3 linked regions of the Bombyx mori genome follow. Each later gene encodes a partner of the first gene's protein in a complex. Links are inferred from orthologs where the notes say so. Each region holds a gene or a part of one and is shown on either strand. Other genes may lie near its edges.

Region 1 (6,824 bases):
CCGCCCATTGCTGCCACGAAGCAGTCTTGAGTTTCGGTTTGAAGGATGCGGCACCCTTTGTATCTCAATCTCAAAACGGAGAATTAGAACTCATGTCACAAGGTGGGCGACGGCATTTACGTTGTTGATGTCTATGGGCGCCGGTGACCACTTAACACGAGTCCCATAAGTCTCTTTGAGGCTGCGGCTCTTCCGCGAAATTTTTAGTTCAGGCATAGAATGTTACTTATTATCTTGCCTTGAAGAGACGAGTAAAGACGAAAAAAACCACTTAACACCAGGTGGGCTGTGAGATCGTCCACCCATATAAGTAATAAAAAAAAGAAGATATTAGGCTATAAAAATGCATGTTAAAAATGGCTTTTAGAATAAAATACAAAATTCTGTGTTATCTATATTTGATTCTTTTTTTTTATTGCTTAGATGGGTGGATGAGCTCACAGCCTACCTAGTGTTAAGTGGGCACTGGAGCCCATAGATATCTACAACGTAAATGCGCCACCCACCTCGAGATATAAATTCTAAGGTCTAAAGTATAGTTGAATATGCAATTTCGAAAAGGGCACATGTCGCATATTTTGTCAAATACGTTTTTCATATACATGTACTTTTGAGGCTTACCTACACCCATTTTATAATAATTCCAGTAATTTTCAATTGCTAATTAACACTAAAATATATCTCAAAAGTTAGTTTTTTAAATTTTACACTGCTTTAGAAAAGAATGAGTTTTTTTTCAGTTCCTGAACATTTTACATTTTCCGAGATGTGCCCTTTCGAAATTGCATATTCAGTTACAATGGCTGCCCACCCTTCAAACCGAAACGCATTACTGCTTCACGGCTGAAATAGGCAGGGTGGTGATACCTACCCGTGCGGACTCACAAGAGGTCCTACCACCAGTAAATAGATACCTTGTTCAGGCACCAGGTCGGAGTCTTCATTACCGGCTGCCCTGCAAACCGGTTCTTATGACACAGCATCTGTCACAGGTTCCTCGTGACGATTCGTTGTGTGTTTCAGCAGGTCTGAGTTACATCACCCAGAATCTGCCGAGCAATATGATGCAGAAGACTATAATAATCGTTCAGGGTCCAGCCGGGGGTGGACCGCTGACGCTCACGGTAAGCTTGAAACACATCAGCATGATCAATTATTGGTGTCAGCAAAAATGTCATAAGTACAAAACAAAACTTTTTAATTATGTACGTTTGTATATGATAATGACACGAGATGATAAAATTCATGTGGAATTAAATATGCTTCACATGTCTCCATGTAGAATTTATCAAAATTTAATGTCAACTGAATGCCGTGTGCGTTTTGTACTTAGGGCTGTCACGAACCAATTTAAGGGTCACGTGTTTGTCGATTTTTAAATTCTGATCAATCATCTGATATAATCAGCATTAGAGCATTAATTTCTCTGGATATATTAGGAAATTCAAATTTGTTCAAATTTGTTGTAAAGTAATTTTATGTCGGGGCACATAGACATCGCAAAAAGAATAACATCGTTAAACTTGTCATATGAAAATTAAGCCTTATCGGTATTAGGATAGCGGCTATTTTGCTCTTATATAAAGGACGAACGTGCTTATGTTTGTAGTTACAAAACCCGAATGTTCAATAGTTACAGTTAACCAATTTAAAAGGATAATTAAATTTTCATATGTAAGGTGAACAACCCTGGCGGCTTGGACGAAGGCACGCTAAACAGTCTAATAGCGCAAGCGACCGAAGCATTGACTCAACAACAAATAATACAGGTTAAAAAATAAAACATGACCAAAAAGTATCGCTAGTACTAATTTCTGTTGTCTATGGGTTCTCATTCGTTCATGCTAATCGTTCATTTTCCTTTTTGTTTTTAAAGTATATATATTTTTTTACAAATTTACATGTAATAACAGCGTTGTATTAACAAAATCTATTCATGTCATAATGCTTTTACTAATTTTCGATAAGATCACCTCTCCTTGGCTTGGTACTGTGCCAGCGATGTTTGGTATTCGTTTGGCTGTATGTCTGTGTATCCTGTGCCGGTGAAGAAGCTAACGTCAAGCTCGAGCCCGTTAAATGTGTGTTTAAATAACAATAATTTTCATTATAATCGAGTTATCATCTGTTGGGTCTGATATTAGTATAATTACAAACAATGTACAGTTTGCAACATTGATGAACTGTGTAATATTATGAATATATTTATTTGATAGTAGTATAGTCAGAAACACAAAATAAATATTTATCTTTATTTAATTAAAGATTTAAGCCAGTAAAAGACTTGAAAAATTCTATGCGTTTCCTCTAACGTAAATCATATTTCATTCATTTCTCATCTGCAAATATCATCGTTTTCTTCTTGATTTTATTCATCAGTTGGTTTCATTTATGGTTGCAGGATTTAAATGATTTTGTGCTTAATTAAAGTTGTGCGACTGGAAAATGAGCTCTATAACACAGTAAAAAGTGACTAAATTTTATTGCGCTACATCAAAATAGAGAGAGAGAGAGAGCTCAAATTTTAAACAAATTCAGATATAAATAAAAGAATATTTTTTTATTTGGCATTATTAAGTTGGCATTGTTCCGACAGAGATCTATAATTTACTGTCTAAAGTTTAAAAAACACTCGTATGGTATTAAATTCTGATGAGTTCTTTGATATTTTGAAGTCAACATGACTCGAAATTATGCATCAAAGTATTTTATACCCTAATTTTATAGAAATAAAGTATAATTTTGAACGTACAGAATACTGGAGTGATACAGTCGACCCAGAGGGTTATTGTCAGTCAGCCAACACTAGTGAGCACTTCACAGCCGATAACCGTTGTGAAGACTGCCATTGCTCAGGTTCATGCATCATTTGATATTCTTAATTATGCATCCATTAGAATGGTTAAAAAAAAAGAGTACTAAAAATATAGTTATCCTGCTCTCGCATGAAGTTGAATGTAAAAGTGCGAGCAGGACAGAGTGCTAAGTGAAAAAGTAGCTTCTAGAACATGTTGCGTCTTTCAGAATGAAGGGTTAAGGTAGAATTTTGCTTTGATTCTCATTAGGCAATAGATGAATTGTAATCTAAGTGTTTTTGATGTTCCTAATTTCCATTGTATCAAATTCGCGTATATCTTGGTTTTGTGCATGAAACGAAAGCTTTTTATTAAATGTGTAGATGAAAGTTTTTTTTTTTACTTAAAATATTTGAAGGCATGTCATGTTTCTGGGGGAAAAAAAGTTAATATCCTGAATTTGTATTCATTTAGATACGGTTTTCATTTACTGGTGATTTTGCTTCTTAGTATTCTAATTATCGAAATCAAACGGCTTTGTATCAATTATTTGAAAATTTCGTAAATGAAAAATGTTTTATTTCTCTAACGCCTCCCCTAAACTTACAGAACGCCCCTCAAATAACTCCAAGCCAGCAACCGATAATAACGACCCAACCGCAGCCCCACAAGGCTCAAATCGTTAGTCAACCTCAAGCGCAACAGATAGTTGTGACCCAGAAGCAACCTCCCACTCTTATCACCACGTCGACCAGCAACCAAATGATGCAGGGCACCCAGCAACTGATTCAGGGGAACCAGCAATTGCTCCAAGGGGGGCAACAGCTTATATCGGTGTCGAACAACCAGCCCGTGCTGATGAGTGCACCGCTGAAGGCGAACGTTCACAGAGTCGTGCAACCTCAGAGGAGTCAAGTCGTGAACCAACCGATGGCGACTCCGGCATCCGTTGTGCAGACTGACACCAAGAATACAGTCATTCAGAGCGGCGCGGTAAGTTCTAGAGACAATTAGTTCCTTTTCTAATTTTTATTTATTTATTTTGTTCATTCCATTCAATACAAAGTCAGGCTTACAGTTTGCACCAAAACGCCTAACTCGTTAACATAAAAAACATTATTAAAATTATTAAGTATTATTATTATGCTAAAGATAACATTATTTTGGAAAAAAGTATTCCCCAACTATCGGCAAACACGTCAGCATCCTGGATTTCGGACAGAAATTTGTTGAACAGCGCGATTGCCCTGGCCTACCTCTACGGCATGTAGCTCTAATGCATTTAGATTCAATCTCACGAAGCATCTTCTGATAAGCGGCTATCAGCGTCTATAGACATTGTAAAGCGATTGCCCTCTACCTCAATACATGAAGTCGAAGTCTGAATTGTGTTCTCACAAATGTTCGATGCTTTAAAACCGAACGCATAACTGCTTCTTTTTTTTTTTGAGGGATTTTATGACCTGGTTGGTAACTACGACCTTTAGGTCATGTCTTATAATAATTAATATTCTTATTTTTATGAAAAATTATAATATGGAGTGAAATGGAATGAATATGATTCATTTGAGAGATGATATGGGATGAAATATAATCTCAGTAAAATGATGGTCATTTACGGAGATTTTTTCAGTGGACTTTCTGGAGGATCCCGAGAAGCTACGTCCAGCGGCTTTGTTTCATTTTCCCACATTTGTGCACTTTCACAAATATTAAACAGTTAATTAACCACTGTTATTACACATTTAAACCCGAAGAAACACTAAATAGATAACATAAAACAAATCACACAACTTTACTCGTCGCGTTCCCGCCAAAAAGTCGCATAACTGCTTCGTTCGAGATAGATATGTAGTGATGTACCCGCGCGCGGGTGGGTACTTTACTGCCGCGAAGCAGTAATACTTTCCGATTCGAAGGGTGGGGCAGCCATTGTGCTGTAAAACTGAAAATTAGAACTGGTGGGTGACGGTATTTACTTTGTAGTCGTCTTCGGGCTCCGGTAAATCATTAGCATCGGCTAAACTGTCAGTTCGTTCACCCATTTAGAAGCAATACAAAATAATATAAAACAATAATTGCACCGAACTGTGCGGGCCCACACATTACTGCTATTAATTACGCAAACTCGCATTTTTTTGTGGGTTTGTGTTTATAGAAAGCCTTTGATCTGTGGATTTAGTGCGAGTTTTGTTAACATTCCCGATAGCGTAAAAGTTAACTCAAATTTGTATGGAATTGGAACACCGCCTCTAGTGGCAAACGTAGGCAAACGTTCCAACTCCATACAAATTTATGTTAACTTTTACGCTATCGAGAACGTTAAAGAACTCGCACTAAGCTCACTATATCTAGAAGTAAGTAATATCTCGGTAAACTATGATACGTTAACCATAATTATAGTATATTAGCTGTACCCGTCTGCTTCGTTGGGCATTTAAATTTAGCATTATTATTTTTCACCCCCACAAAAATTGTCATCATTAACGCCCCCGCAACTGGTGTAGGGTATCCAACACTCATATAAATATTAGCATTTCCATTAAGTACATGTATTTTCTACATGGATACCAAGTTTCAAGTCAATCGGATGCATGGTTATAACGGAACATCCGTAAAAACCAATGTAGATTTATATATTAGTATAGATGTTAGGACAGGGAGAAATAAATTAAATATTATTTTTTTATTTACAGAAAGTCCAGGCACAAGCAATGAGGCAGGTGATCACCCGGCAACCGGTGATGGTTGGCAACACGAAGATCGGCGATAAGGAGCTAGTTGTGACGCAGCCGGTAACTCCCGAGGTATCACGACATTTTAACAGACTTTCAAAAAGAAAGTTTCTCAATTCGGCTAGGTCAGGGGTTCCCAAACTTATTTTGTCTACTGCCCACTTTGAGAATAAATTATTTTAAGCGACCCCATTTTTTTCACCTATTTAAAAACCACTATAGGGAGAGCTCGTCGGTGTCTGGGAGTCCTCCTAGATAAAATTATAAATCACCTCCCAAGCCCCTACACAACGCCCCCGTTTTTTTTCTGGGTCTCTTACCGCCACCCTTTAGGCCTGCAGCGCCCACACGAGGATGTTATCGCCCACTTTGGGAAAGGCTGGTCTAGGTGGTCCAATTTTGATAGCTCTTCTTTAAATCGTTGTGCTTGTTCTTCACATGCAGTCACATTTAAATTTTATCAAAATTCAACTGGTAGTTTTTGAGTTACCCTCAATAATGCATATTTCAACTATATTGATGGTGTTGTCATTTTGACAAAATCTGTTTTAATTTTCTATTTGTGTCTTAAAGTAATTATTTATTTCGCATATGAGTTTTCAAAACGAATGTTGATTAATGAGAAATTTATTTATTAGCTAGCTTATTGGTCCTCACAACAATTATTCCATCATTGTTCCGGTTAGCCACAATAGCACTTTTCTACTATTTTTTATCATCTTATCTATTACTTCTATTTTATCAATTCGAACGAAAATACGTGTTTATATGAAGAGCGATCTGAAGTAGTCCATTGCGGCTCGACAAGTGGTACTTATCGGTTGCAATTTGTTTAATTCTTCGCTAATTACTAATTAAATCTAATCAGTCGCCGTGTAACAATAAGGTCGATTTTCAAATACCACGAAAAGCCGCTCCGGGTTTTCGTTCAGTAGCGTTTATCGTAATTTCTAGAAGAGTGTAACGCCGAAACCGCCCAAGTCGACGGCGACTCCGCCTCCCCCGCCGCCGCCGCCGCCGTGTCCGCGCACGCCTCCCTCCACGCACGACCCCGACACACCTTGGATCTGCCACTGGAGTGGATGCGGCAAGTGAGTTATCTACAATAATAATTCCATGTCCTTGAAAATATCTTATACTAATATATATAAATCTACAGTGGTTTTTACGGATGTTTCGTTATAACTACTGAACCATGCATCCGACTGACTTGAAACTTGTTATGCATGAAGAAAATACATGTACTTAATGGATAAGCTAATATTTATATGAGCGTTGGACTCTCTACACCAGT
Region 2 (6,824 bases), on another chromosome or scaffold:
TCTCTCTAGACCAGCGGTCGGGGAACCGGGGTAAATTACCCAAAACGGGGTAATATGAAATTATGGGGGGTAAAAATGAAACTTTTGTGAGTAAAAAGTATATTATATTGAAGTGAAACTTCTTTAGAATCGTTGTGATTTCAAATTATTATTCATGAGAGCTATAATATGAAAGATGCTAAAAAGAAGCGATTTCGTTTTTTTTGTTCTTCGCCATGGGGTAATATCAACATACACAAAAAAATTTTGGGGTAATAATTAAAAAAGTTCCCCGACCGCTGCTCTAGACACTCAGTTTAGGTAAGTCAAAAGGGACTTCGTAATTGGAATAGAGTATAAAAATGATGTTCATTTTGTTTGTTCATACTCGAGTCTCGCTGGTGACGTCACAACCTGCGCGTCATCAGCGAGGATCGAGGTAAATTGAGACCGACAGCGCAAAAGGGGCCTAACCCACAATTTGTCATATTCGCGCTTATATATTGTAATTTATTTAAAAGGTAATAAATTTTGATGCAAAACCGGCCTGTCCCTAGTCTCACCCATAGAGAACAGATGGCTTTGTAAACAACCTCATTATCTCCATACTAACTATGATAAGCTAAGGACTAGAGATGAAACGGATAGTGGTTTGGTCGGATACTGGATACCGAATATTCGGCCCTTTTTTTCAAATCAAATGAAATTAAAGCTACAAATCAACTTTCGGAAATATTCGTGCGCGTTCGGGTGTTGTCGCACGTGAGCGGAGATCGCGACGACTCGGTACGACGACGATTCGGTATTCATTCACCACAATTTACCACTTGTTAATTTTGAGTATTAAACAAACTAATTGATAAAACAATCACATTTGACGTGCGATTATAAAAATAAAAGTTGTCCAATAAACTATTTATTGTGGTATTAATTGCCTTTTGTATAGCCATGAGATTTTCTTAAATTTTACTATCCGAAATCCGGCCGGATAGTGATTTACTATCCGGTATCCGGCCATGTTTTCACTATCCGGCCGTTACCGGATATCCGTTTCATCTTTATTTTCCAGGTCTCACATCCAAACATTAAAGCACTTTTGGTAACAAAGCCAACTGGATCCGACGAGTTAGGTAACTTAACTCCCAGACTAGATTTAACTGCGCAAATGTAATGTAGACTAATTAATTTAAATAAACAGTATATCATTTCAGTTTAAACTAAGATATGAATGAGAAATTTAATGTATTTTGAAACAAAAGACAATTAAAAAGCCATGTCCCCTTTGCTTGCTCCCACAGACTACTCACCTCATACTGAGGCGGTGTCTTAAATAATAAAAATACTAGATGATGACAGAGCTTTGCTCGGTTTTTTTTTTTGACAACGCCATCTTAGTGTCTTTAAAGAGGTTAGTTGCCCTCAATTAAAAAAATAGGATTATTATTCGCCAATAGATGTCGGGAAGAGTTGATTATTGAAAACACGAATAAAACAACATTTTCTGAAAATAAATCGTAGCTAGATCGATTTATCGCCCCCGAAATCCCCTGTATACTAAATTTTATGAAAATCGTTGGAGCCGTTTCCGATATTCAGATTATATATATATTAATATACAAGAATTGCTCGTTTAAAGGTATAAGATTACTTAGCTAATGTATTATGTGAAAATCTTAACAACGGGACTTTTTGTGTGAAAAAATAGTGAAAACATGGCCGGATAGGCCGGATACCGGATAGTTACCGGATATCCGTTTCATCTCTACTTAGGATACTTTTGCGCTGACTGCCTCAATTACAAGTCACCGGGATTGCATTTTCCGCTCGTCCCTGGGGCCTGTGCGGCTCCGCGAGTGGTGGTGGCGTTACCAACCGGGCGCGGTGTTGGCGAGCCTCCGCATGCGCCTGGTGTTCCGGTCCTGGTCCCGGATCTTCTTCTCCATCTCCGCGTTGGTGAGGGTCTCGAGGTGCGGGGCCCACTGCTCGGCCTCCGACGGGACGCGGTACGGCGTCTGTGTGACAATTCGAGGATGTTCAAATGACAAATGGTAATCGAACTCCGGGGACTTAATAATAAAAGAGTTGGTTTTTTGGAGTTGGTAAATGCGCCACACACCTTGAGATATAAGTTCTTAGGTCTCTGTATAGGTACAACGGCTGCCCCATCCTTCAAACCGAAACGCATTACTGCTTCACAACAGAATTAGGCAGGGTGGTGGTGCCTACCCATGCGGACTCACAAGAGGTCCTACCACCGGTAAAAATTGTATCATCTCAAACAATTCCTCAGAGCACTCCTCACGGAACATACGGTACAAAATACAGAAGGAGCCGAAGTCCCTCTGCAGATCCAGAGGTTCCAAAGAGTTCCAAGAAGCTGAAGTAGCCTCTCAAGGCTATCAGCATGGGTAGGAAAAAAAAAAGTAGCATGTATGTGGTGCGCACCTCGACCACGGGTAGGGGCGCCTCGCTGAAGGCGTAGGTCCGCTGGTGCCAGCCGAGCTGCCCGCGCACGGAGTACGCGATGCCGGTCACGAACTCCCCGCCGAGGCCCAGCTCCGAGCACAGCTTCATCGCGAACTGCTCCGGGTTGTTCTCCTTCTCGGCCATGTCCCACTCCACCTGGTACACCAGACACACATTCAATACCAAATAGCAAATATCCAGCGTAATCTTTATATATAAAGTGTATATATATATATATATACTAGCTGTACCCGACCGCTTCGCTGGCTATTTAAAATTAACATTATTATTTCTCACCCCCCCAAAGATTCTCATCATTAACGCCCCCAACTGGTGTAGGGAGTCCAACACTCATATAAATATTAGCCTATCCATTAAGTACATGTATTTTCTACATGGATACCAAGTTTCAAGTCAATCGGATGTATGGTTCAGTAGTTATAACGGAACATCCGTAAAAACCACTGTAGATTTATATATTAGTATAGACTTATAGATTTCTTCTATGCGTGTGTATGTCACTGAGCTCCTCCTAAACGGCTGGACCGATTTGAATGTTTTTTTTGTATGCGTTTGGGTGGCACCCTGGATGGTTTAGATTCACAAATCAGCCCGGCAGATGGCGCTACAGGCGGTATCTAGGTTATTTATCTATACTACAACTAAACGGCTGGATCGACTTGAATGAATTTTGCAGGACGTCTGTCGAGTCCGCTAGTCCCTTTATTATATTGAATAATAATTTTTGTATAATATTTAGTGACGGTAAAACCTTTTGATTCCGCGCGGTTAGGTACCACCACCCCGCCTATTTCTGCCGTGAAGCAATAATGCGTTTCGGTTTGAAAAGTGGGATAGTCGTTGTGACTATACTGTGGCCTTAGAACTCATATCTCAAGGTGGGTGGCGACATCTACGTTGTAGATGTTTATGGGCTTCAGTAACCACTTAACACCAGGTGAACTATGAGCTCGTCCAACCATTTGTGCAATAAAAAATAACTTTAAATTTTAAAATTACTAAAAATATTCAAATGTCAAATTCTCATTCGCTTTTCCATGTGAGCAATGATTTATTGTGTTGTGAGTAAACATTCACACTCATTACCAGTGGTTGGAGTAGGTAGATTGATTTTATATACTTGTGTCAAGATATTACAATATGGACATGTCATTTTATCCATAATGGTTTTTTTTTTAATGGAAAAAAAAACATTTTTAAGCCTCATCGGATACAATTTCTTTATTTATGAGATAAAGTAACAAAAAGCCCTGTCTAAATTTTGTCTCATACTGACAAGCGTCATTTCTAAGTCAACAGAAAGGGACAAAATATATTCCAAGGTGTTTTTGTATAAAATAAAATACAGATTTCTTTCACCATTAGCTAAGACTGTGTAGGGATATATACGACAAAGGGAAGATCTTCCACCGAGCAGATGATATTGCTCGGTAGACCGACGGTCCAAATGTTGTTGTTCGGAACTTGTATATATGCGCTTTATCTTGAAAATGTCGTAAGCGAGATTCAGGCATCTGTCAATTATCTTGCGTTGTATGATGGCTACCCGCCACAACTGGTAGCGTAGATTAATATTATTAACGCGTTTTTCACCTCAAACACAGATTCCAGCTAATTTCAAAATTCCGGAACAAATATCACAATAAATATGAAGTTCCGGTATTTTGGAGGCGTATCCATATTATCTTCTACGTTTGACGTCAACGACCTTAAATCAATCTACCTACTCCGACCTCTACTTATTACACATGTCAATTACATCTTCTATATTAATTATTTGAGTTTTCTTTGTAACTTGAACCTACCTGATCTACCAACGAAGTGTTTCCAACGTGTATATTGAGTTTGACGAGGACCCTCTGGTCGGTATGCTCCTCCAGTATGGGGGGAGGCTCGCTCGGGAAGGCATCGATCTGTTGCCGGATCGAGGAGGCCACAGCAGGTATGAAGGTGCTCGTGTTCAACTCTAAATCATCGCACAGCACCTCGGCAAACTGTTCTGGTGTTATTATTGATTCTGGAAAACAATCCTCCAATTTTTTATTTATTCAAAAACTTGTTAATAGGCTGCCTGCAATCCTTGTGAGAAAAAGCCTCAGACACAGCCCACTGAGTTTCTCGCCGGATCTTCTCAGTGGGTCGCGTTTCCGATCTGGTGGTAGATTCTGCGAAGCACACGGCTCTTGCTAGCGTTCGTGTTAACAACGTCATCACGTTTGAGCCCCGTGAGCTCACCTACTAGTTAAGGCAACGCTGATATAGCCTCTCAAGGCTATCAGCTTAGGCAGGAAAAAAAAGTGGGAACATACACATTATGGATATAAAAATTAAGGAGCGTATTCCTAAATTTATGTAAGGGTTGTGCTAAAAGAACAATATAGAATGAAAACGATAAAACATTAAAAATATTTTAACCAAATTTGCAGGGCGCATTGGAACTGTTCTGTGATCCAAGACAGTTGGACAAGGTCCTCCTGATCTTCAACACTTACTGCAGACCAACAATTTTCATTAAGCATGATTAAAGAACTTTATAAAGAATAGTTATAGTTAAAGATATAAGAAAATGTTATTATATATTTTCAATTGACAGTCGATACAATTCACAGTAAATACAGCCAATCTATTTATAATTTGGTAGACAGCAATTACACATTCTATTATTCAAATACTTTCTGAAATCAAAAATTGAGAATAAACAACCAGAATTGGTAACAAATGCAGTTAAACATACCATTTTTATTCCATGTAAATGTATCCCTGAGTTTTTGACCCTCAATCTCCATGTCCAATCGAATCGGTACAAGCACCTGCTTTTGCGAAGCATTCTCCAGCATTGCAGTCATGTCTGTGTCATCGAAACACAGTGGGAATGTTCTCACCTGAAAAGTATTCATTTTATGCTAGTTTTAATAATGATACTTTAGAACTATAGTATATTACATTAATTCCAATGTTCCATTTCAAAATCTGTTATTTATCTTACGATGTGTCTCTGATTTTGAGATATTCTATCTATCTTATCTATCTATCCTGAATCAGAAGCTAAATTAAATGTGTTGTGTTGACCTTAGAGTGTGGCCCCATGTCAAACATGATTAACTAGATAAACCTAGGAGTCAGAACCTGAAGCCCAACTGGACTTTAAGTTTTGACTTTAACATCCATTTTACCTTCTTATTATGCACCCTACTCCTGCTGATTGGAGTAGCCTGGGGTACAGCATCCAAATGAGAAGAGTTTGGCATGACTGGCAGCCATGATGGAGTGTGTGGCTTCTTGCTTTTGCTCTCACGGGGTGTCGCCAACTCTTGGCTGACGGACACTGCTTTGTATCTATAAATTAATTTAAAGCTGTGTCATAGCTGTAAATAGTTTAATGGACAACTGCTGTTTCATATACAATTCATAGTATTTAAGATTTCCTTGATATGCACACAGCAACTGACCAGAACCGATGGAGACTGGCACAGCTGAAACAGAGTCACAATCCTCAGCAATGAGGGAGCGATGAAGAAGAAAGATATGCACACATTTTGTTTTTTTTTTTATTGTCCTTAAAATAAGACAAACATACAATTCTTCTGATGGTAAGTGGTTAATGTCGTTCGTGGACTTCAATAGTGCCAGGTGCTCACCAAAACTTAAAGGTCTAATATTTCGACTGACTACTTCAGGTAGCTTCACTTATCATCAGATGGATTATGAACTCGTTCACCTGTCTATGCTAACACAGCAATTGTCGGTTTTAACCGCTTTCAATAGTTCACAAAATGTTTATAATGACGTACTTATCATCATTCCCTTCAATAATGTCTTCAACTTCTGACGCCTTCAACAGTGAAACTGAACTGGACAGCACATGAGGACCAAGACCGTTGTCAATTAATCGCTTACGTTCTTCATTGGTGAGGGTACGCCGGCACATGCCAGGGTACTTCTTGTAGAGTGACCCACGGAACAAGCGCAGGTAATTCCCGACCTAAGGCAATAGTTAATTTTTTTGCATTTTTAAGCGGGCATAAGACTAATCAAAATACAAAATCTGGAAATCTCAAGTTAAAACTGCTGTTTTCGACACCACAATATAATTTTGCATTGCTTTTAATTAAAACCACTGTTATTGTTTAATCATTTAAATTTTTTGTCATAACAATTTACAGTAGTTAGAACAGTGTTAATATGCCATGAAAAATGATAATGAAATGAATATAATAAATATGAAATTAGACCTTTTTTTATACAATTCAGAAACACTGAAGAAAATACATCATTGCTCATCTAAAAAAATAAGAGCAGAAACAGCATTGGGTGCCACAACTTGTTTTAATTTGCACTGCAAGCAATCACTGTCGTTT
Region 3 (6,824 bases), on another chromosome or scaffold:
CTTCTCGACGCGCTCGCGGAACACGGAGACGGTCCGCTGCGGCTCTAGCGCCACCTATAGACGCATTTCAATTCATTAAAACTAACACAGGTAAATACTCCAATAAATAAAATCAAACGAATTCAGAATTCAGGTTACCTCTCTGGGAACAATCGACACTTCTTTCTCGGAGCCCTCCCAGGCTCTGATCTTTTTGAACCACCTGTGCTTCGTGCTGTACCGACTCTCGCAGACGTAGACGTCTTTGTCAGCGTAGCCTATACAAAATAAAAAATAAAGATTAGATATTTGTGAGACTTGTTTTCATTACAGACGGGCCATTGTGTTGTGAAGTATTGTGCATATTAATGAACTACGAAATCAGATGTTGGTTCACAAGAGGATCACCTTCAGGTCTAAACTTGAAATATTCCTTCACGTTCATAACGTAGCAAGGTCCCACGACGCGGTCCAGGGGCACAGGTTTGTACACATCCGTTTTGAACACTTCTTGTTGGAGGAACTTTCGGGTTCTGATGTGGAATGTCTCTTGAGGTCTGCACAGTTAAAAAATAGTTTAATTTTGCAGCAAAAATATTAATAGGACTGAAGGAAATCAATAATCGTTTAGTTTGTAAACATTCTTGTAAGATTTATTATAAGTCAAAACAATAGTGCGTTAGTTGTAGCAGTTTGAACAGTGCAAAATGTTTTATTTCTTTCCGTGCATTCAAAAGCAACTTTATGAATTTTCCTTTTTTTTTAAATAGGCACATACCCATTCTTCAAATTAAAGTAATTTTTATTTTAGTACACTATTATTATGATCGTTTTTACCTTGTACATTCATAATGGTTATAAGTATATTATTATTAACGTTTACAAATCCTTACCTAAAGTACATGTTGCAATACAGCATAGTTATACCATCGCTGTTAGTCCAAAGTCTTTCTACTTGAACAATATTGAAGTCTTTATTGCCCTTCTCAGGTTGGATGTACAGGAAATCACCTTTCCTGTACTGAGATTGAAGATTGGTATCACCCGACGGCATGGAGTCATCCGTACTCGATCTAGAGAAAGCAAATATTTTTGTGTCCAGAAGGAATGATGTCACTTATCTCAATTTTTTTTTTTTAATATTCTAATCTTATACAAAGAAAGGGGAAGAGGTCGACCGAAGAAGACATGGATGGAGTGTGTGAATGACGATATGAGAGAGAGAGGAGTGAGTGTTGAGATGACGGCTGATAGAAGAGAATGGAAGAGAAAAATTAGCTGTGCCTACCCCACATAGTGGGATAAGGTGGAGAAAAAGAAGATTCTAATCTTATACATTAGTCTAGTCAACAAGTTCAAAAACGTGTTAAATAGACATAAAGCTCCTAAAAATATGTACGATAGCTCATTGGATGCGGAATGATGTCTACAAAAATGTTTTTTAAGGGCTTATTAGCACATAAAAAATTGCGATTGTTATAAACAAAATAAGATTTTAAAAAAAGGAATTTGGTTTTTCCTTAATAATTTCTAAAATAATGATATTTAAGGAATTTTGAAAAAAGATCCTGAAAGAGGAGGAAATTTCCAATAAAAAAGTCCCAACTCCCGGAATTCTATCTCTATTATTTATAAAAAAAAAATAACGCTGAAAATAGCGCTCCGCGAGGTCGCTACGGCATAGGCGCGCAGTCTAAAAAGCCGGTATATCACCTAAAATATTTTTTTTATAGTATTAAATAACAATTTAAAAATTTGAATAAATTATGGTGTAATCTAAACACTTGAAGGAAAAAAACCTCGGTGAAAAAAAAACTTTACATCGATTTTTCAAAAATTTACACCATTGTTAATTAACTAACTTTTTTCCAATCTCTGTTTTTATAAATTACGGTATAAAAGTTACAATAATTCATCTATAAATTTTTCCCTTCGTGGAGCTCTTATCATTTAAGTACTTAATAAAGTTAAGCAAAAAATTTGTTTTAATCTTTAATCATGAAATTTCAAAAAATATCAAAGAAATCATAATTTTTTATAAACAAATGCTTATAACTGATAAACAATAGTTACAGGATCGATTTTGAATTTATTTTAAAGATAAATAAATCCTTTATAAAAATGACCTGAGTGTCCTTTACCGTATCTCTTATAGTTTAAAAGTTATAACAATTTATAACTTGACAAATTATGTAACGGCTGTAATTTCATTATCATATAATATCTAAAAATGCTGTAAAAAATACAAAATTTTTTTTTCTTTATTTTGTTATGTATGGTTGTTTTTATAATTTTTTGTAGTTTTCGAAAAAAAATATAACGATTAATATTAATTTTTTATAACAAATTGTTAAGTTAATAAACAATGAAATTATTTATAAAAAAATGTATTTCTTTGTTAATCCGCTGAAAAGAGTCAATGATGATTTTTAAGAAAAAAATAATTTCTTAACTAATTATTTAAACAATTGAAATATGAAAAAAACGATTTTAAACAATTAAAACATTTATTTAAGAATTTTTTTTTTTCTAAATCTTTATGTCACCTATAGAATAAGACGGTAATTCTTTTTTTTTTTTAATCCCAAAATAGTCTATTTATTTATAAACAATTTCTTAACAAATAGCGTAAAAATTTTTTTTTAAATGTTAATTAAAACCTATGGTAGATGCAAAAACAGCAATATTAAGATAACACGAAAAAAAAAATTTTTTCATAACATTTTTTAGAAATTAAATTTTTTGTTAATTAAAAAAAATTATAATTATCAAAATAATAAAGATTAAAAATTTTTTTTTGCTTAACTTTATTAAGTACTTAAATGATAAGAGCTCCACGAAGGGAAAAATTTATAGATGAATTATTGTAACTTTTATACCGTAATTTATAAAAACAGAGATTGGAAAAAAGTTAGTTAATTAACAATGGTGTAAATTTTTGAAAAATCGATGTAAAATTTTTTTTTCACCGAGGTTTTTTTCCTTCAAGTGTTTAGATTACACCATAAATTATTCAAATTTTTAAATTGTTATTTAATACTATAAAAAAAATATTTTAGGTGATATACCGGCTTTTTAGACTGCGCGCCTATGCCGTAGCGACCTCGCGGAGCGCTATTTTCAGCGTTATATTTTTTTTATAAATAATAGAGATAGAATTCCGGGAGTTGGGACTTTTTTATTGGAAATTTCCTCCTCTTTCAGGATCTTTTTTCAAAATTCCTTAAATATCATTATTTTAGAAATTATTAAGGAAAAATCAAATTCCTTTTTTTTTAAATCTTATTTTGTTTATAACAATCGCAATTTTTTATGTGCTAATAAAGCCCTTAAAAACATTTTTGTAGACATCATTCCGCATCCAATGAGCTATCGTACATATTTTTAGGAGCTTTATGTCTATTTAACACGTTTTTGAACTTGTTGACTAGACTACATAGTAGCTGACAGAAATGTCTGATTATACAAATAACAATTAAGCATTAAAGCAGTAAATTTTAAAGTATTGTGTTTAATAAGATTATGTGTTTAGGCAATTTAGGTAATATTCTTGTTCACAACAGATATTAAAAATGTTTACCGAATTGTTTTTTTCTAAATTTCTTTTTTCAATTTATTTATTTCATATTTATAATACATTCAAGAACTTAGAACTATATTCATGATTTGCAATAACTGTCATTTATTCTTTTTGAAGGGCAGCACCGACAGATAACCTTATAATTATGTATTACCATAAAATATTACCATATAATACTCTCCAAAATTTATAATTATTTAAAATCGATTATTAATTTATAAGTTTCAATATTTTTTTAGTCTATTATATTACGATAACGACGTGTAGAGCTAGTGCGTAGACGATCGACCCCGAGGACTTTTTGGCAGGAACGCAAGTAGTGAAGTTGTGTATTTTGTTTTATTTTGTCTATTTAGTGGTTTATTAACTGTTTAATATATGTGAAAGTGGACAAATTTAGGAAAATGGAACAAAGCCGCTGGACGTAGCTTCTCGAGATCCTCCAAAAAGCCCGCTGAAAAAATCTCAGTAATAAATAACCATCATTTTACTGCGATTATATTTCATTCCATATCATCTCATCTCATTTAATTTAATTTCTATTATCATTTTTCATAAAAATAAGAATATAAATTAAAATAAGACTTGACTAAAAGGTCTTAGTTACCAGGTCACAAATCTCCTAAAAAAAAACGACCCCGCCCGCTACAGGAACTACTAGGAGTTACCTAGTTTCATCCTCATCGTCGTTCTCTTGCAGCAGCTTGCACTGCTTGATGAGCTCGACGCTGGTGGAGACGGTGTCGCGCGTGAAGGTGAGCGCCGGCGACTGCAGCGTGCCGCGGCACAGCGCGTCCCTCTGCTCTATGTAGTAGCACTGCAGCTCGACTGAGTCTTCGAAAATTTGACTATCTGTACGGGAGAGGCGACGTGCTCTGCGAAAATGTTCAAAAACAGATTTTAGATAGCACAATACCACTGCTTGTTTCTGGCGAAAACAGCCTGCATTCTGATTCATAGTCCGGCGCGGCTGTATATAATGCAGTTTAGATTTCTACTCCATGTGTATAGGTGAGTGACGGTCATGTTGTGATGTCTGTGGACACCGCTATTTTTTTATTGCTTAGATGTGTGGGCGAGCTCACAGCCCACCTGGTGTTAAGTGGTTACTGGAGTCCATAGACATCAACAATGTAAATGCGCTACACACCTTGAGATATATGTTCTAAGGTCTCAGTATAGTTACAACGGCTGCCCCACCCTTCAAACAGAAACGCATTACTGCTTCACGGCAGAAATAGGCAGGGTGGTGGTACCTACCCGTGCGGACTCACAAGAGGTGCTGCCACCAATAAACCAGATTTCTACTTCATGTGTATAGGTTAATGACGGTCATGTTGTGGTATCTATAGACACCGCTGTTCATTTAACAGCAGTACGTTACGAGCGGTGCAGCTTACAGATAAATTAGATTAATTAATACTTTTTTTTTTACTTGATTACCTTTCAAACACAGCAAACATATCTTGCTGGAAATGATCCAGTCTCTTGTACAGCCCTTTGTCAAGTCTTCTCTTGACCAAATCCAGCGATATAGCTCGCATCTTCTCGCCATTGTTTGTTTCGTCGTGTTCCGGTAACTCGGCCATGCTGTCTGAGTAACACCTGAACATTTTCAAAATAGAATTCATTATTACACTGAAATATTACTGAAAATCAATAAAATAAAACAAAAATCAGTGTTCAAGTGACAAATTGAGAAAATATCACTTCAAATTTAATGTTTCAAATAATTCACTAATGTGAAGCATTCACTTAATTTAATTTAGAACTTAGGCAATTTAGAAGATCAGATCAGAATAGAGAAGATTAATCAAAAATATTACAAAAATGATTTGACACATGAAATATATTTTATAATGTACATATACAAAATATTAGTAAAAAAGACAGTATAAATATTATCAAAAGTGTCAAAAATAATTAAGAAGATGTATAAGAAGATCAAGAATAATTAAGATGATGAGTGATTAAATATTCAGCGTACTGAATTTCCTCCCAATCATTTTAGTTTTGTAGTAAATCTGATATAACGATACAAGTTTCCTACCATTAAACATTTGGTTTTAACGACTATTCTCACCTCCCCTCTTCATCTTGATGATTGTATACTGTGGTAAAGAGATTCAATAATAGTTCTTGGACAGCGGCTGGAACGTCGGGCACTGCATCGTCGTCTTGACTGTTGACGGAAATATTTTTGTACATTTATTCAATTTAAGTTTTAATGCTCATATATGTATACAACGTGTTACAAAATACTCCGTAAAAAATATAATTAATTATCAAAGACAAAAATTTTGTTAACCCTAGTAAGCTGTCATGTCAGGGAACAAAATTATTTAACAGAAAAGCCTACATACCTATTTTACTTAATAATTGTCTACTCTAATAATTTTTCTATTTTTCAATCATAAATATTTGCTACCTCAATACAAGGATATCATTATACTCAAGTACTGGCTTAAAAAAATGTCAAGTAGGAAAAAAATGTATGTTTTTCATGTAGGTGCACTCTGCGTAGTTTAATATTATAAATGTAAAAGTGAAAGAAGCCGCTGGCACAGTCTAGTGTCTATATATGAAACGTTATTATGTTACTCCCTTTTATAACTTTGATTTATTCAATTTGGCAGTATAAATTCGACATACCTAGGTACGTTAATCATGAAGCTTACTAATTGCTAAAACTTATAAGACTTTACCTTAACATCTGCTTGGTCTGCAGACAGACTCTGTGCAGTATCAAAGCGTCCTTGTAGATCTGCGAGTCGGGCTCATTGTACTTGCAGGCGTTATCGAACATCAGTATGAAATCCGAAGCCAGCTCGTTAACTGAACTGTAACTGTTGCTCTTCAATTTGTGAGCAATCTTCTCCATGTCTATCGGGTTCTTGATGAGCTCATAATAATCAGGGTACTCAGTTTTACTGGGTAGCTTCATGAAGATCAGGGCCAGCTGGCGGTTGGCTGTAATCACAGAGACCACTTTTTTTAAACGGATGAATGGTGGAACAGGAAGAATTTATTTATTGGCACTTCGCAGCAAGTTGGTGAGTTCGTCTACCTACTTGAAGCACTAAAATTAAATTAAAATTCCGGCAATGGAATGAGCTCCCCTCCACGGTGTTTCCCGAGCGCTATGACATGTCCTTCTTCAAACGAGGCTTGTGGAGATTATTAAGCGGTAGGCAGCGGCTTGGCTCTGCCCCTGGCATTGCTGAAGTCCATGGGCAACGGTAACCACTCACCATCAGGTGGGCCG

What was found.
Region 2: AT-rich interactive domain-containing protein 2 (region 1) and SWI/SNF-related matrix-associated actin-dependent regulator of chromatin subfamily B member 1-A share a complex: the UniProt entries of both Homo sapiens proteins name them as parts of the SWI/SNF-B (PBAF) chromatin remodeling complex. The link is inferred for Bombyx mori from reciprocal best matches to the Homo sapiens genes ARID2 and SMARCB1.
Region 3: AT-rich interactive domain-containing protein 2 (region 1) and protein polybromo-1 share a complex: the UniProt entries of both Homo sapiens proteins name them as parts of the SWI/SNF-B (PBAF) chromatin remodeling complex. The link is inferred for Bombyx mori from reciprocal best matches to the Homo sapiens genes ARID2 and PBRM1.

Annotation. Positions count from the first base shown.
Region 1 is NC_085120.1:8,105,702-8,112,525, forward strand, and holds part of AT-rich interactive domain-containing protein 2, read left to right. Parts: intron 1-1,023; coding exon 1,024-1,124; intron 1,125-1,679; coding exon 1,680-1,769; intron 1,770-2,754; coding exon 2,755-2,856; intron 2,857-3,404; coding exon 3,405-3,788; intron 3,789-5,491; coding exon 5,492-5,602; intron 5,603-6,484; coding exon 6,485-6,621; intron 6,622-6,824. UniProt on the Homo sapiens protein: Involved in transcriptional activation and repression of select genes by chromatin remodeling (alteration of DNA-nucleosome topology). Required for the stability of the SWI/SNF chromatin remodeling complex SWI/SNF-B (PBAF).
Region 2 is NC_085122.1:12,046,232-12,053,055, forward strand, and holds part of SWI/SNF-related matrix-associated actin-dependent regulator of chromatin subfamily B member 1-A, read right to left. Parts: intron 6,449-6,824; coding exon 6,258-6,448; intron 5,803-6,257; coding exon 5,640-5,802; intron 5,349-5,639; coding exon 5,201-5,348; intron 4,484-5,200; coding exon 4,272-4,483; intron 2,602-4,271; coding exon 2,425-2,601; intron 1,992-2,424; coding exon 1,853-1,991; coding exon of another isoform or gene 1,845-1,852; exon of another isoform or gene 1-1,844.
Region 3 is NC_085132.1:4,595,811-4,602,634, forward strand, and holds part of protein polybromo-1, read right to left. Parts: intron 6,530-6,824; coding exon 6,265-6,529; intron 5,742-6,264; coding exon 5,643-5,741; intron 5,165-5,642; coding exon 5,003-5,164; intron 4,435-5,002; coding exon 4,228-4,434; intron 1,053-4,227; coding exon 873-1,052; intron 537-872; coding exon 388-536; intron 258-387; coding exon 139-257; intron 55-138; coding exon 1-54. UniProt on the Homo sapiens protein: Involved in transcriptional activation and repression of select genes by chromatin remodeling (alteration of DNA-nucleosome topology). Required for the stability of the SWI/SNF chromatin remodeling complex SWI/SNF-B (PBAF).